Linked DNA regions of Nothobranchius furzeri. The protein of the gene in region 2 interacts with the protein of the main gene of each other region in a biochemical or structural test. Links are inferred from orthologs where the notes say so. Each region holds a gene or a part of one and is shown on either strand. Other genes may lie near its edges.

Region 1 (4,173 bases), on a different chromosome or scaffold from region 2:
TACACCTCTGTTATAAAGTAGTCTTTGCAAAATGATGTTTAAAATGAAAATTTCTTCTAGCCTCCAGATCCTCAGAACTAAAAACAAACAACTACTGCAAACTCATCAACGTACTTGACTTTTTGCTTTGTACATAACTAGTAATGTGCTTGACTCAACTAAACTTTTAAGTTTCATAATACGTGATCTGATAAATAAATTATTGTGATCTCTTAGATTTACTTTGTGTATAATTCGTACAGTTCTTTTCTGTACGACAGGCTTTTTGTGTTATCAGCAAAAACAAACTGTAACAACTATGACACATTGACAATGTCATTAATATACAAACCAAAAAGTTTAGGTCCCAACAATAACCCTTGTGGGACTCCACATTAAATCTTCAATGCAATCAGATATCTTACCAGCACACTGCACACACACACATGTCTGTTATCTAAATAACTACTTAAAGAGTAAGTCACCCCCAAATCAAATTTTTGCTGATAAACCATATAAATGAGTGTCTAAACATGCTGTAGACATGCGTTGTCAATATTTTGGCACTTTAGTGCATCTTAGTTAAAATTAAATATTTTGCCTAAAACTGTCAGTGTTGCGCCATCTTCAGGCAAAAACTCTGCACTACATTTGAATTTAAATCTACCTATTGGCTAAGAGGTACACAATGACGTTAGCTGGTGCATTGTGATGTCACAATGCTGTTGTAAGCCTGTTTGTGACCCTCTCGGTCTGCCAGGCAACAGTATTTGTTGCATTTTTCAAACATGAAGTGAGATTGGAGTAAGTTTGTTGTAGGGGGTGACTTGCTCTTTAACTATTTTAAGAGTACTCCTCTCATGCCATGTGTGGGTAATTTAGAAATTAAAATAGAAAGGCCTATGGTTTTGAGTGTTTTTTAATCTATAAAACCCTCTATTGTATTCTTTGAAGTGTTAATTAGATAATAAATCTAAATTGTTTCACTAATGGGTGGCTGTTGAATGGTTTTCTTTTATTTTTACTAATTGTGTAATTACATGAAGCATACGTTTAAGCTGAATCATGAGTTGACTCCATAGACTGTACATACTCAAATTGACTACAAATTCAAATTCAAATGTTCATTCTGTACTCCTTGATATTTATTATTTTTATTAAAGTGTTCAGTTAAAAATCAAAATCTTGTAACAAAATATGTCGGCTTGAAATTACTACAGCCCTTCAGTTAATTCAACAATGAAACACTTATATAATGAAAGGGTGTGAAAAATAATTTTCATATTTTGTTAATGTGTTCTATCTAAATGTGAAGTTTCACATAAAATAGAATAATAAAGTCCGTTAATTGATTGTGAGGACCGCGAATGCGCCACAGTCCTTAAGCCAATCATGGTGGAGCTCGAAGTGACGCAGCAGATGTAAACAAACATTTGCAGTGCGGCCATTACAGAAGAGTTTTTGCTTTGACTGAACTTGAGCTATTAGACATTTTGACGTCGAATTAATCCGCTCAACAGGTATTTGAAGAGTTAAAAATAAAATAGTTTGCGTCACTACATACGTGTGCGTTTGTGTCTGTGTGTTCTGTCGCGGTTTGTGTTGTGTTTCATGCTGTGTAATTCAGCGGCCTTCACAGCCCGTCTGACCGCCGATTTCTACTCGTTTAACGGTCACCTCCCCTCTCGTCGTCCCACAGAGCCACAGAACCGAATCAAGAGGACATGAAGGACCCGAGCATCAACAACACCTCAACCTCCCCCAGCATGACAATGACCGGAGAGGTGATCCTTAGCAGCCAGTTCGGTACCGAGGAGAACCCGTTTGCGGAGTACATGTGGATGGAGAACGAAGAGGAGTTCAATCAGCAGGTGAGGAGCCTGAAAAACCAGATTCTTTACTCAAACCGTGGTCCAGGTTCAGAACCTGGCTCTATAAAAACTCGCTTATTGTACGGGACACATTCTGGAGAATTACACGAAAGCTCCCCTCAAAGTCACCCAGAACCATTAGTACTAAATGCGTGGTTCTGGTCATGGTTCTGTCAGAAGGACATGTATACTGGATCAGCGTATGGCTCTTAAGGTTCTGCCTTTCTTCATGGAAACCCAGTCAGATCTGAATCGGGTCAGCTCAGCTCTGACGTTGTGTGTTTGTTCAACAAAACATAAATTAAACAAAAAGATTTATTGTGTCTTTTAGGCACAGATGTCACGACTGATCAGAGGTCTGGAGTAAGGAAGACAGATTAAGTTCTCACAGAGGAATAGAACTCAAGATAGTAGTGTTAGATGTTAGACATTATGTTGTTTTTCTTGAGAGAAAGCTCTCGGTCATCGGGATACTTCTGGCTATAGTTGTCGAAAATATTCACTTATTTATCTTCTTATGGTTCCTGACAACGCTTTTTAAAACCACTTGGTTAAACTGGTGAAAGCAGGTCCATCAGAGCCACAAATATTCTACTGTCTCTTGTTAAAGCATAGAAAAGACCCATTTAAACATCTGCTGCGAAGAACTCTGAGCTGCTTCTAGGGATGATTACTCTGTGTGTCACAGATCCTTTGGTGTTTATTTACCTCTGATGGGGTGGGGCTGCTTGAGAGACAACTATTACAACTGGACTTCGATTGGGCTGCTGGAGTCTGCTACAGGCCCAGTCATAAGTATGACTGAAACTACTTACTAAATTATTGATAAGACTTAAGGTTTTGTTGCATTTAGGGCAAGGCAGCTTAATTTGTATTGCACATTTCATAAACAGAGGTAATTCAATGTGCTTTCCAGGTGCAAAATCAACATAACAGCATAATTAAAATACACAAATAAATTTATATAAATTAAATGCACAAATTAAATTCAGATTTAAGAATCAGATAAAAGGCTAAGTTAAAGGGGGAGCAGTTACAGTGCACAAGGTGCAGCATAAGAGACGGTCATTCAAAGGCTGATGAACGAAAGTTTTCAATTTTGATTTAAAAGTTACTAGAGTTGGGACAGCATAGTAGCTAAAAGCAGCTTCACCCTGTTTGGTTCTGACCTGGGGTACTATCAACTGACTGCTTCCTAAGGATCTCAGAGCACTGCTGGGCACACTATAAGGAAATCTAACGTGTATTTTGGCTCCATGCCATTGAGTGATTTATAAACTAGTAGAAGCACTTTGAAATTGATTCTGTAGTTTACTTGTAACTCATGCAGAGATTTAAGAACAGGAGTTCTGTTTAATTCCCTCCTGACTGCCAGTGGCAGTAAACAGTGGATGTATCTCCTCGCGCTCTGCGCAGGTCGAGTACTAATGTAAACCTAGTCGCGAGTCTATAAATTACGCGCCGATAGCTACGTTCGGGTCTCTTTGATCTTCTCGCTGTTGACCTGGCGTGCTTCGCGGGTCAGTCGCTCCATCAGTCCGTGATTCGGACCTTGTCGGTCTAGAGGTGAGTACACGTACTACTTGGTGTCAACCTTCCCGAGACCGGGTGGTCGGAGTGCTCAGGGGAGCCCTCTGGGGCGGTGGATTGACGCGGTTATCTGTCGATTGTTACAGAGAGCGGGCGGTGCGGCCGGTGTTCTGAGAAACCGTTCTACTTTGGCAAAACGTCCTACCCGTAGGCTAATTTTACGGTGTTTTACATGACACAAACCATAACCCTAACTCTAACCCAAAAAAAATCAAGTATCAACGTCAATAAAAAGTACTAATACTTACTACTTATCTATTTTCCTGCAAATATGACAATGGAGTAGCATTTCCTTTTTGTGATGTGCGCATGCGCGCGCATGCTCAGGAACAACGGGTAGGACGGTTTACGGGGTAGGAGAAATTCCCAGAACACCGGCGCCATTCGGACCGCCGCTCGGATAGGGCTCGCTGGCGGTCGCTGTTTTCCCCTGTGGAAAGGGGAGGGGTTGCGGCCGGCGAGCGCTACAGGTAATTGGGGCTGGACGTTCTGACCGTGGAGGTGTCACGCTCAGATTATCCAGCCGACACACACATTGTGTGTTGTTTAACAACTCCAAGACTGAATCGCGTTCTTCAGTTTTCTTTGAAGTCCTCGCTCAGTTTCTGTGTAGTCGCTGGCGTCTCCCACATCGGTAGGGATGTTGGCGTTTACGTCATGCGGGGCTCCCCTCCAGGTGGAGGACGGCCACGACTTGTGTCCAAAGTGTCTGGGTGTCAGTCACCTCAGAGAG
Region 2 (3,500 bases):
TTGGTCTCAACAGGGAATGGAGCTGATTTGACTTGATTTCTTACTGCTTTCTCTTAGTGCTCCGATAAGTTATTGTGTGATTCACTAACGTGCATCAATGATTCTGTACGTTTGAATAGAAAACCAAAGTGGAATTAAAGGTTAACAAAGCTATTAAAGCATTTTTGTGTTTATTGTTTTGTTTCTTCTCTTCCTGTATTGAAGGTGCCAGCAGTGTTCCTGCCTTCTTTTCAGAGGACGACTCCCAGTCCAACGACTCCAGTGACTCGGACAGCAGTAGCAGTCAGAGTGATGATGTTGACCAAGAAACGTTTCTCTTAGATGAACCTCTGGAACGTACCACTAGCGCCTCACATGCTAACACTGCAGCCCAAGCTCCTCGCTCCATGCAGTGGGCTGTTAGAAACACACCCAGCCAAAGGACAAGTGGAAGCGCTCCCTCTAGCTCTTCAGCTCCAGCTGGTCAGTCAGCACCTGTCTGCATTTAAAAGTCTACAGTCTGTAGGGCGTTGAATTACAAATGTTGTCTATAATCATTTTATTTTGCCTCTTAAACAGCAAGCTCCACCGGTTTGATCTACATCGACCCTACAAACCTGCGCCGCTCCAACGCCATCAGCTCCAGTGCAGCAGCAGCTGCGGCAGCTCTGGAAGCCAGTAACTCCAGCAGTTACCTGACGTCTGCCAGTAGCCTGGCTCGTGCCTACAGCATCGTCATCAGGCAGATATCAGACCTCATGAGTCTGATTCCCAAGTATAACCATCTAGTCTACTCACAGTATCCTGCTGCTGTAAAGCTCTCCTACCAAGATGCTGTTAGCCTGCAGGTGATTATCGTTGGATAGGTCTGTCAGAATATCACAATCATTAAAAAAAAACCTCTTTAATAATGTTAACCTCAGACTTTATGAGTTAATGCAGTGGTCAAAAAAATGTTTGTCCCCCACCCCATGAGTGCAGACACGTGCATGTGCACACACTTATTATTTTTTTATGTTTCTGTTCTTAACAAATAAAAGTAAACCGCAATAACTTGCAGGTTACAATGAAATAAATAAATTCTGGAGTTATCTGGGACCCGAGCGACAGATAAACCGCACAAATCCCATATTCCATTTTACAACTACGAGAACCTCCAGAGCTCCTCTGCTCCCCGATTGTACACTCGTCCAGGTAACCAGACTGAATGATGGCTGAGAAGAGGCTGCACTCTCGGGCATTTCCTAATAAAACTAACCATGCAGAATGCCTCCTTAAATGGAAATGCAACCCGTTACTCAGCTTTTTATTTATTCCTGACGGGAACCTCTCCTCTGTCTCAACTGCGTTTAACCTCTGCAACTTGTTTGTTTCTTTTGCACTTTGGCAGCCGTTGTCTCAGTCTCACTGTAAATAAAGTTTTTTTTTTTTTCGGGAAATACACAAGCTGTGGACCAAACATGGTTACTTAAAGGTGTTGCTGTATGTAAATGACGAGAACAGACATGAGCAACTGGGCAGCACAGGTAGGATTTATCATCAGATGAGTGCGGAGGAACGTGCGTACGAGAGCCCACCGTATGTTAAATAAATCAGGATTTTGACCGTTCGTCTGAACGTTCTAAATTTCATTTGTAGGGAGGAAGTTAGGACAGTTCCTATGAACGATAAAAAAGGGTCCATACTATGACCAGTGTGTAATGATTATCATGTCTACCAGAACTACGTGGAAGAAAAGCTGATTCCCACCTGGAATTGGATGGTGTCCATCATGGATTCTACTGAGGCTCAGCTGCGATATGGCTCGGCTTTGTCGTCAGCTGGAGACCCGGGTCACCCCAGTCACCCACTTCACGCCTCTCAGCACTCAGCTCGCAGAGATCGCATGACCGCTCGGGAGGAGGCCAGCCTCCGCACTCTGGAAGGACGCAGGTATAGTTTTTCTTCGTCTTCATTGGAACATAATGACTGACTCAGTTTATTTGTTTACAACTTGATCAAATGAAAACACAGACCAGAAGTCAACCCATGCAGTCGTTTGGTTCACAATCATCTGCTTTCCTTCAGGAGAGCAGCAACGTTGCTGACCGCCCGTCAAGGCATGATGTCAGCACGGGGCGACTTCCTGAACTATGCGCTGTCACTGATGCGCTCCCACAACGATGAGCACTCGGATGTTCTTCCTGTCCTGGATGTGTGCTCGCTAAAACACGTAGCCTACGTGTTCCAGGCTCTGATCTACTGGATTAAGGCTATGAACCAGCAAACCACCCTGGACACCCCTCAGATGGAGAGAAAGAGGTGTGTGTTTAAAAGTTGCATCACCAGACAAGTATTGGTTGCTAACTAAACGGCTCATTGCTTAAGTAGAATTATTTATTTATTTTTTCACTAGGAATAGAGAAATATTGGAACTGGGCCTGGACAACGAGGATTCTGAGCACGAAAACGATGAAGACACTAACCAAAGTACAGCAGCTTGGTTGACTACATCGGTACACAGACGCTGGTATTTTAAACTTTGTTTGAAAAGTTTTTCTTTCAACACAGGTTCAACGCTGCAAGACAAAGACGATGACCCAGTTCCAGCTGAAACGGGTCAGAACCATCCCTTCTTCCGCCGCTCGGACTCCATGACCTTCCTGGGCTGCATCCCACCCAACCCCTTTGATGTTCCTCTTGCGGAGGCCATTCCACTGGCAGACCAGCCCCATCTCCTGCAGGTCTGACATGTGGCTGTTCTGTGACATGCTTCACCAGCTACACGGGACATGTTTGTTTGTTTGGGTTTTTGCATTTATGTATTAAAAAGTCCATGTTGCCTCCTGTCTAACAGCCTAACGCCAGAAAGGAGGACCTGTTTGGGCGTCCCTCTCAGGGCTTATACTCCTCCTCCTACATGACGACCAAAGGCCTGGCTGAGACCAGCATGGACAGGAACTGCCTGGAGGTAAACATGGGCTCCTCTCTACTCTCCTCCTCTCAGGTACACCACCCACCGTCAGAGAAACAGCTGAGCTCTATGCGAAGCAATTTAAAACCAAATGCTTAAAACAACACAAGATTATCTCCTAGATGTTTGTTTTAAATGTGTTTACTGGAACCTGATAGTCATAATCCCATCATCATTATTTCAGTGTGACTGTTTTCTTCTTGCTAATAAATAACACTATCCCTGGTGGACAGATCCTGCCCACAAAGATGTCCTACACAGCCAACCTGAAAAATGTCATGAGCATGGAAACTGGCCAGCGGAGCAGTGACAACCAGTTATTGGGTGAACAGGAGATGGAGGCTTCTAAACCAGGACCTTCTCCTCATGACCTCGCTGCCCAGCTGAAGAGCAGTCTCCTCGCTGAGATTGGTCTCACTGAGAGTGACGGTCCTCCTCTTCCGTCATTCAGGTGAGGTCGCTGGTGGTTCTCTCTAAAACTGGAAGAAGACCTCTCAGCAGAACCTCATTTTTTTCCCAAATGTTATCAATCAAAATGACTTTTAAACATGAGAATGCCGTTTGTCCT
Region 3 (4,120 bases), on a different chromosome or scaffold from region 2:
CTGTAGAACATCAGTTTCCTCCTTGCACTTCCACACAGAACAAGGGAGGGTCCCAGTTGCACCAAACACTGTCCCCTTCTTTATTGGAGACTTTACTGTGCTGCTCCTTGAGATTGAAATTTTCCGTAGTCTGTCCACAACTCTTTCCCTGAAATCTTTTAAATGTGGATTGCCACCCATGGTCCGTCTGATGTCAGCTCCAGCAACAGCTGGCGTTATTCACAGAGCAATACGATTGTAGTCCTTCAGAGGGGGTGATTATTTTCTCATTCAAAACTTTGACTTGAACTGCACTTTTATAGCGCCTTTCAGTGTCAGTGTATCATTCATCCGTTCACACACTGGTGGTGATGAGCTACAACATAGCCACAGCTGCCCTGGGGCACACTGACGGAGGCGAGGCTGCCAAACCCAGGTGTCACCGGTCCTTCCGACCGCCACCAGGGGGCGGGCGGGGTGGGGTTGGGGGGGGTGGGGGGTAATTTTCTTGCCCAAGGACACAACAGCAGGATTCTCTGGTGGGAGCCGGGATCGGACCTGCAACCTTCTGATTACTGGACAACCAACCCAACCTCTTGAGCTACTGCTGGCCCTACTTATCACTGAAAGAAAAATCATCACAAAGAGCAAAACAAATGACTTTTAATCAAGTGTAAATAACAGCATTCTGTTGTTGCTTAAAGAGCAAGTCACCCCCCCAAATAAACTTTTTTTTTGCTGATAAACTAAATAAACGAGTGTCTAATCGTGCTGCAGACACGTGTCGTCAATAATTTGGCACTTTAGTGCATCTTAGTTAAAATTTAAATATTCTGCCTAAAACTGGCAGTGTTGTGCCGTTGTCAGGTAAAAACTCTGCACTGTATTTCAATTTAAATCTGCCACCGCTATTGGCGAAGAGGTATGCTATGATGTAAACTGGTACATTATGATGTCACAATGCTGTCGTGAGCCTGTGTGTGTGTGTGTATTTGTTAGCAGCTCCGCCTTCTCGGTCTGCCAGGCAACAGCATTTGTTGCATTTTTCAAACATGAAGTGAGAGTGGAGTTAGACTCTGGTAGGGGTTGACTAAGCAAAAGTTTATTTGGGGGGTGAGTTGCTCTTTAAATGATTCGCAGCATCAGTTTTTATTGTTTTTTTGTTTTGTTTGTTTCGTAATTTTACACAAAAAGCTGAAAAGCGATAAGAATTAAAACAAAAATGTTTTGTAGAGTTTTATAGAATAAATGATTAATAATAAAAATAGTGATTCTGTGTGTTAAAGGTCAGGTTTACGTCATGACGCTGCCGGCCGGATGTTACGTCACAGCGCCCAGTCAGGCTGTGTTGATGTTTTGGAGAACGGGAAGAGGGAGACGCTTTTTGTTTTTGTTCAACTCCACCGTCGAATGTAAACAGAATTGTTGTTTCTTTGGTCGGTTTCGGTCCGTTAAGGGTCTTAACTCGGTGACTGGAGCCGAACCGCTCGTTCAGAAGGTGAATAGACCGACTAGTTTTATCCAGAACGGGGACTCGTCACCCTCTGACCGCCTCCCTGCTCCACCATGACGATCCTCCCCAAGAAGAAGCCCAGCTCTGGTGTCGGCGTCTCGGACCACGCCGATGACAGCGACCGTCGGAGCAGCTCCGACCCTCACCAACACCCACACCCGCACGCTGGGCGGACCGGAGCCCGACCCAGAGCCTCCCCTCCGCCGTGGTCTTACCAGACTGCTCCCCCCTCCGCCAGAGAGGACAGGCGGAGCATCGAGGCGAGCTCCCGGCCGCAGCAGGCCTCTCCGCCGCCCGTTGGCTCCGTGTCCCCGGTAGGGCCGGGAGATGGCAGAGACGGTAGCGGTGGAATGGTTACCGGCTCCCGCGGGGAGCTTGTTGTGCCTGCCGGTGTCGTTGGATGCGGCGGGTCGATAGGCGGTTGCTGCTCCGGGCCCGGGCTGAGCAAGAGGCGGCGGCAGGCAGGAACCTGCTCCGGTGGGGTGGTCGCTGCTCTGGCCGGGGGAGGCCAGCCGGGGGTGACCGGACCCGGAGGTGTAGGGTCCAGTCAGGATACGGAGGAAGGAGCAGGGAACAACAGCGAGGACGAGTACGAGAACGCCGCCCGGTTGCAGTTCATGGACCCGGCCACGGTGGAGCAGGTAGGGAGCTAACAGGCTAACGGGGATGCTAACGAGGCTAAACGGGAGGGTTCTGGAGGGTTTGAAGGCTTTTACACAACATTTAACTCCATAAAGAGACCCCACCGTGTCAGCAGTGTCGTGATTAACAAAAGTGTAATCATAAAGGAAACGCCGCTGTAGCGGTACAACACCAGTACTACACTGTTTTCACCACAACGGTCAGGTCAAAGTCTGACCCGCTTCCCAAAGGCTTCAGGTAACCATAGCAACGACTGGGATGCTGTAGTCACACAACAGGTAATAGGGGTGGGGATTTATGAGGGCTGGATGTGCAGGTGGGGGCAGCAGCAACAGTCAGTCCAGATGTGGTTTTAGTGCCTCCCAGCATCCAGATCCAGACCTGTGGTCCTGAATCTGGATCAGCACTTTTCTAGAATGTGGATTTTTTTTTACACCATCAGGTCTCTACTGACCTCGATCAGCAGGCCATTAGACGTAAGCAACATGTTTGAAACCTCAGTGTCATCTTCGATGAACACATGAATTTCGACAAACAGATCAATGCGGCGGTCAAGTCAAGTTTTTATCAACTTAGGACCTGGAAAAAGTCAGTCATGCCCTTATAAGCTCGCACATCGGTTACTGCAATGCCCTATCCAAGTCCTCCATCGCTCGTCTGCAGCTAGCCCAAAATACCGCAGCCCGTCTCCTCACTAACACACCTTGGGGCAGCCATATTACTCCCATTCGCTTAGAACTGCACTGGCTTCCTGTATTTTTCAGAACACAATTCAAATTCATAATGTTCACGAGCATCCATGGCCTCGGTCCTGCCTATCTCTCTGACTCCTTGTCCTTACGTCAGCTAACACGGTCCACTAACTCAGTCCCTCGACCTCGATACAAGCACTGGGGTGACCGCTCTTTTTCAGTCGTGACTCCAGCAGTCTGGAACAAACTCCCTGATGACCTGAGTTTGACTTTTGAGTTATCTTTGTTCAAGCGCAAGCTTAAAACCTACCTTTTCCAACAGGCTCTTCATCAGTAGCCATCCTCTTTAACTTCTGATGATAAAGACTCGCGGGTCTTATTTTGTTTCTGAACCAGGAACGGGCTTTTGGTCCTGATGCTGACAGCCTGGATGTTCCTTTTCCTCTTTGGACCAGAGCTCTTAGACCCCAGCTCTTGAAACAATACTCCAGAGTTCTGATCCAGTTGACCACATTTCTGCTGTTCTGGTCCAACCCAGAGGATTTGGTGCAGCCTCTGAATGGAGTGGTTGCTGATTAGAGATTGACAAATTGGTTTTTCTTTTGCTGATGCTGATATGTAGAGGTCCTGGTCAGCCGTATGGTAAAATGTCACTGATAACATCTAGACGTGGGCGGTGCTCACATTTTAATCCCACCTAGCTTCCTCCACATTTTACCACGGTGTGCGGTATTACTGGGACTAATTTAAAAATGATGACGTAAGCCTTCAAACTGTTGGTTTGGACCTTCACCGTTCAGAAACTCAATAACAAACACTAACAACATAACACACCTAATATTAACAACTTTAATAAAAAAACAAGCTTATAAAAAGATTTTTCACCTGTAAAACCTGCACGTTTACCTTTTTCGGCTTCAGCCCCCAACTGCTGAAAACTCGCTTGTGGCAGACGGCCGGTTACCTTTGGGCTAGTCGTGACATCTGGGGAAGGCTGGCTGCTTATTTCCACCAGAAAGGCCTGTAGTCGTGCCTTTTAATGACGGCTGCAGACAGAAATCTGCCTCTTCAGCTACGGCTCGCTGCTCTGCCGTGCCGACGGGGCGGGCGGCTTTCGCTGTCCTCTTTTGTTTGCACAAATGACCTCATAAGAGTTCACCAGAAGTTGTGGTTTTTTTAAGACTCCCGGTCAGCTGGTACGCGAGCTGCCATTTCTTCTCTCGGCGCTGTCATGTGATGACATCATGTTCATAAACTTTGTGGAACATCTCTAAAATGTCGACAAAACATTTTA
Region 4 (3,997 bases), on a different chromosome or scaffold from region 2:
TACAGAAGTCTTGGGAAGCTGAAGGATTCCAGCACTGGATGAACCAAACAGGGTGAAGCTACTTTTAGCTACTGCTGCACACAGATGGAATCAGCTTCAAATGAAATGAACACTTTTATGGTTTATCAGCCTTTGAATGATCACTTCTTATGCTACACCTTCCGCACCGTAACTGCTCAGCCTTAACGAGGTCTGTTTTCTGATTCTTACATCTTATTTTGTTTGTATATTTTATTTCTAACTTTAACATCTGCTGTTTTATGTTGTCACATTGACTTTGATGTTTTATGTTCTCGCTGATCTTGCACCTGGAAGGCATGTTGAGTTGCTTCTGTGTGGGAAACGTTCCAAAGAAATAAAGCTGCCTTGCCGCCATTGGGTGATTAAATGTTAACCTAAAATAAGTTGAGATAAATAAGGAAGAACGATGGTCCATCAGCTCTGCAACTAATTAAATGTGTTTAATAGAGGAAATGTTTGTGGAATAGCACAGCAAGTAGCAGCTAACTCACCGCTAGCTGAATCGCCTGGGCTTGATTTTTCTCTTTCTGTGTTTAACTGTGGAATTATTTCTAATTTACTTGCAAAATCAGCTCCAAATGTTCCTATTTTATCTTGGTTTCCATTACTTACATGCAAGCGCGCACACATATGCACTTTTCCTGACTGAACTTTTACAACACGAGATCAAGCCCCCATCTGTCAGGCAATGCAAGAGTCCAGCCGGAGTGCTGTCGACGTCATGCTGCAGCCTCGCCACGGTGAACCCTGAACTTACATCATTTACTTATTTGTTCTAAAGTTCAGCGACTTTCGTAACAACTCAGAGGGACAGGGATGACCATTGATAGAAATTTTACTTAGCTTATATCAAACTATTTCATCTTAATTGCAACAACCGATTAAAGAAAAATGGAAATATTTCTGTGATGCAAAAATGTGCAAAAACAGTGTTGCATGTTTTGTGCTCTCACTTTGACTGTTTTTCTTGCAGCAATGTGAGTTAAACATCTCAAAGCTACAGGTTCTCACTCAGATCTAGCCCAGTTATCGGCTGATGGCAGGAGAGAACCGGTTACATAAAGACTGCGTTATGTCCGGCAGCGGATTAATGATTAGCTGAAGTCCTGCGACACACCGGGGTCATGCTCACACCTCCTGACACACTTCCCCCTCCTTCCTACTCTTCTCCCTCCTCTTTCAGGGACATCCCAGGGTATAAAAGGAGCAAACCTTCTCCAGGGAGGACACAATGGACCAAGAGTCCTCAACTTGACTGGGAACAGCCATCAGAGACACCTCAGCTGATGAGGCCAAGCTAACAGCTCTTTGCTCCAAACTACTGAAGGTAACATGAAATACTTTGTGTGTGGCAGCTCTTGTAGGAGAGGATTACGATGATGATGCTGAAATCTTCAGTTTGTCTAAAATCTTTTTTCTTTTTCCCTTCAAATTTTCAGACTTCCAGACTTCATCTCGTCTCTCTTAGTCTGTCGACTCTCTCGCTCTCCAGACTTTGTCACCATGCCTCCTCAGATCCAGTCCCAAAGCCAGAATGGTCCCAGGATCCTGCAGGGCAGCCTCAGTGCCTTGAGCCCCGCGGTCCGGGAGTTTGTGGAAGCCAACATGGTCCTGTGCCAGCCTGAGTCTGTCCACATCTGTGATGGCTCAGATCAGGAGAACCGAGCCATCCTGACCCAGCTAGAGGAACAGGGGATGATCAAGAAGCTCACCAAATACGAGAACTGGTAGGATGATTTATTTAAGTCAGTTTTGACGGATTTCACATTGGTAGCTTAGCTATAGCCATGGTCAGCACCTTTTTAGATAAAAAACAAACTCAGAAAGCAAAACTACTGACAAACCAGTAAGTCTGGCTGCTTCCGACACAAAATGTCATCTCTGACCTTTCTCCTCCTTCAGCTGGTTAGCTAGAACCGACCCAAGGGATGTGGCTCGCATTGAGAGCAGAACAGTGATTGTTACCCAGAACCAGAGGGACACAGTACCAACACCACTGGATGGAGGAGTCAGCCAACTGGGCCGTTGGATGTCTCCAGAGGAGTTTGACAAAGCCATGGGTCAACGCTTCCCCGGCTGCATGAAAGGTACCACAGAGATGCAGGTTTTGTTCTCCAGTAATGATCAAAAAGTAGAGAACATTTGTTTGTCATGATGTAAAGATCTATTTTTCCTGTCCCTGTCCTCAGGTCGCACCATGTATGTGATTCCCTTCAGCATGGGTCCAGTAGGTTCCCCCTTGTCTAAGATTGGTGTGGAGCTGACGGACTCCCCCTACGTCGTGGCCAGCATGAGGGTGATGACCCGAATGGGGAAGACAGTGCTATCCGCTCTGGGAAATGGAGAGTTTGTCCGCTGCCTGCACTCCGTTGGCTGTCCTCTACCTCTCAAAAGTACAAAATCAAAGCATCCTCACTAGAATCTCTGTAAGTTTTAGAGCATTTAAATAACTGCAGTTGTTATTTCAGAGCCCCTGGTAAACAACTGGCCCTGCAATCCTGAGCAGACACTGATTGCCCACATCCCAGACCGCAGACAGATTGTGTCGTTTGGCAGTGGTTATGGAGGAAACTCGCTGCTGGGAAAGAAGTGCTTCGCTCTCCGTATCGCCTCTCGCATCGCCAAAGAGGAAGGCTGGCTGGCTGAGCACATGCTGGTAAGAAAAGGCAACGCATTTTTATTTTATTTAACCATTTCACAGAACAATCGTCATTGTTATGGTCAAACTTAAACATTTCTGCTGCTCAGATCCTCGGTGTCACTAATCCTGCTGGGGAGAAGAAGTACATGGCGGCAGCCTTTCCCAGCGCCTGTGGGAAAACCAACCTGGCCATGCTCTGCCCAACGCTGCCTGGATGGAAGGTTGAGTGCGTAGGAGATGATATCGCTTGGATGAAGTTTGACAACCAAGGTGAGAAAAATACTTCACAGATAATGAAACATGAAAATTGCGAACAAAGAACAAAACAAACGTATTTCCCTTTTCTATTTTCTTAGGCAATTTACGTGCCATCAACCCTGAGAATGGCTTTTTTGGTGTTGCACCCGGCACATCCATCAAAACCAACCCCAATGCCATGGCGACCATTGTTAGGAACACCATCTTCACAAATGTTGCAGAGACCAGCGACGGCGGCGTGTACTGGGAGGGAATGGACCAAAAACTTCCTGAGGAAGTGACTCTCACGTCCTGGAAAAACAAGCCCTGGAATTTAGAAGATGGTGAGAACCTAGACCAGGGGACTAAAACTCAAAAATAAGCTTTTTTTAAGAAGAAAATAAGTTGATTGAATAATCTTCGCTTTCTCTGTTTGTAGGAGAACCTTGTGCTCATCCCAACTCTCGTTTCTGCACACCGGCCGGTCAGTGTCCCATTATTGATCCGCAGTGGGAATCCCCGGAGGGAGTCCCCATTGAGGCTATCATTTTTGGAGGCCGCAGACCAGAAGGTGAGAATAACCAGTCCGCATTCTTAATCACAGCTGGACTTAAATGAAATAAAGATGTAATCAATGAAACTCTGTAAATCCTGTTTTCCTTTGTTCCCTTTAGGTGTCCCTCTGGTGTATGAAGCCTTCAGCTGGCAGCATGGTGTGTTTGTTGGAGCAGCCATGAGGTCAGAGGCCACCGCAGCAGCCGAACACAAAGGTCGGTGTCTAAACAACCATCTCTTTGTTAGTGTTTGTTATTTTCTGTTGGATCTGAAACTTGAAACTGACTTCATCTTTTTGTACTTTTTTATCCAGGCAAGGTAATCATGCACGACCCCTTTGCCATGCGCCCTTTCTTTGGCTACAACTTTGGCCAGTACCTTTCCCACTGGCTGAGCATGGCCGACCGTCCTGGTGCCAAGCTCCCCAAGATTTTCCACGTCAACTGGTTCCGCAAGTCTCCGACAGCTGGCTTCCTCTGGCCCGGTTTTGGGGACAATATCCGCGTCCTGGACTGGATGTTCAGACGAGTGAACGGTGAGACC

Evidence for each region.
Region 1: the proteins of ubr5 (region 2) and polyadenylate-binding protein-interacting protein 2 form a complex in vitro, tested with the Homo sapiens proteins (2 studies listed by BioGRID and IntAct, with this or other methods). The link is inferred for Nothobranchius furzeri from reciprocal best matches to the Homo sapiens genes UBR5 and PAIP2.
Region 3: the proteins of ubr5 (region 2) and otud5a form a complex in vitro, tested with the Homo sapiens proteins (2 studies listed by BioGRID, with this or other methods). The link is inferred for Nothobranchius furzeri from reciprocal best matches to the Homo sapiens genes UBR5 and OTUD5.
Region 4: the proteins of ubr5 (region 2) and pck1 form a complex in vitro, tested with the Homo sapiens proteins (2 studies listed by BioGRID, with this or other methods). The link is inferred for Nothobranchius furzeri from reciprocal best matches to the Homo sapiens genes UBR5 and PCK1.

What each region holds. Positions count from the first base shown.
Region 1 is NC_091741.1:64,864,160-64,868,332, reverse strand, and holds the start of polyadenylate-binding protein-interacting protein 2, read left to right. Parts: upstream 1-1,373; 5' UTR 1,374-1,499; intron 1,500-1,678; 5' UTR 1,679-1,703; coding exon 1,704-1,850; intron 1,851-4,173. UniProt on the Homo sapiens protein: Acts as a repressor in the regulation of translation initiation of poly(A)-containing mRNAs. Its inhibitory activity on translation is mediated via its action on PABPC1.
Region 2 is NC_091745.1:50,575,297-50,578,796, reverse strand, and holds part of ubr5 (E3 ubiquitin-protein ligase UBR5), read left to right. Parts: intron 1-204; coding exon 205-462; intron 463-558; coding exon 559-827; intron 828-1,699; coding exon 1,700-1,911; intron 1,912-2,046; coding exon 2,047-2,280; intron 2,281-2,374; coding exon 2,375-2,448; intron 2,449-2,529; coding exon 2,530-2,702; intron 2,703-2,815; coding exon 2,816-2,965; intron 2,966-3,165; coding exon 3,166-3,383; intron 3,384-3,500. UniProt on the Homo sapiens protein: E3 ubiquitin-protein ligase involved in different protein quality control pathways in the cytoplasm and nucleus. Mainly acts as a ubiquitin chain elongator that extends pre-ubiquitinated substrates.
Region 3 is NC_091755.1:47,032,962-47,037,081, forward strand, and holds the start of otud5a (OTU domain-containing protein 5-A), read left to right. Parts: upstream 1-1,320; 5' UTR 1,321-1,545; coding exon 1,546-2,133; intron 2,134-4,120. UniProt on the Homo sapiens protein: Deubiquitinating enzyme that functions as a negative regulator of the innate immune system. Has peptidase activity towards 'Lys-48'- and 'Lys-63'-linked polyubiquitin chains. Can also cleave 'Lys-11'-linked ubiquitin chains (in vitro).
Region 4 is NC_091743.1:74,246,770-74,250,766, reverse strand, and holds the start of pck1 (phosphoenolpyruvate carboxykinase, cytosolic [GTP]), read left to right. Parts: upstream 1-1,197; 5' UTR 1,198-1,348; intron 1,349-1,460; 5' UTR 1,461-1,524; coding exon 1,525-1,748; intron 1,749-1,923; coding exon 1,924-2,108; intron 2,109-2,210; coding exon 2,211-2,414; intron 2,415-2,489; coding exon 2,490-2,677; intron 2,678-2,769; coding exon 2,770-2,932; intron 2,933-3,018; coding exon 3,019-3,243; intron 3,244-3,338; coding exon 3,339-3,470; intron 3,471-3,573; coding exon 3,574-3,669; intron 3,670-3,767; coding exon 3,768-3,997. UniProt on the Homo sapiens protein: Cytosolic phosphoenolpyruvate carboxykinase that catalyzes the reversible decarboxylation and phosphorylation of oxaloacetate (OAA) and acts as the rate-limiting enzyme in gluconeogenesis.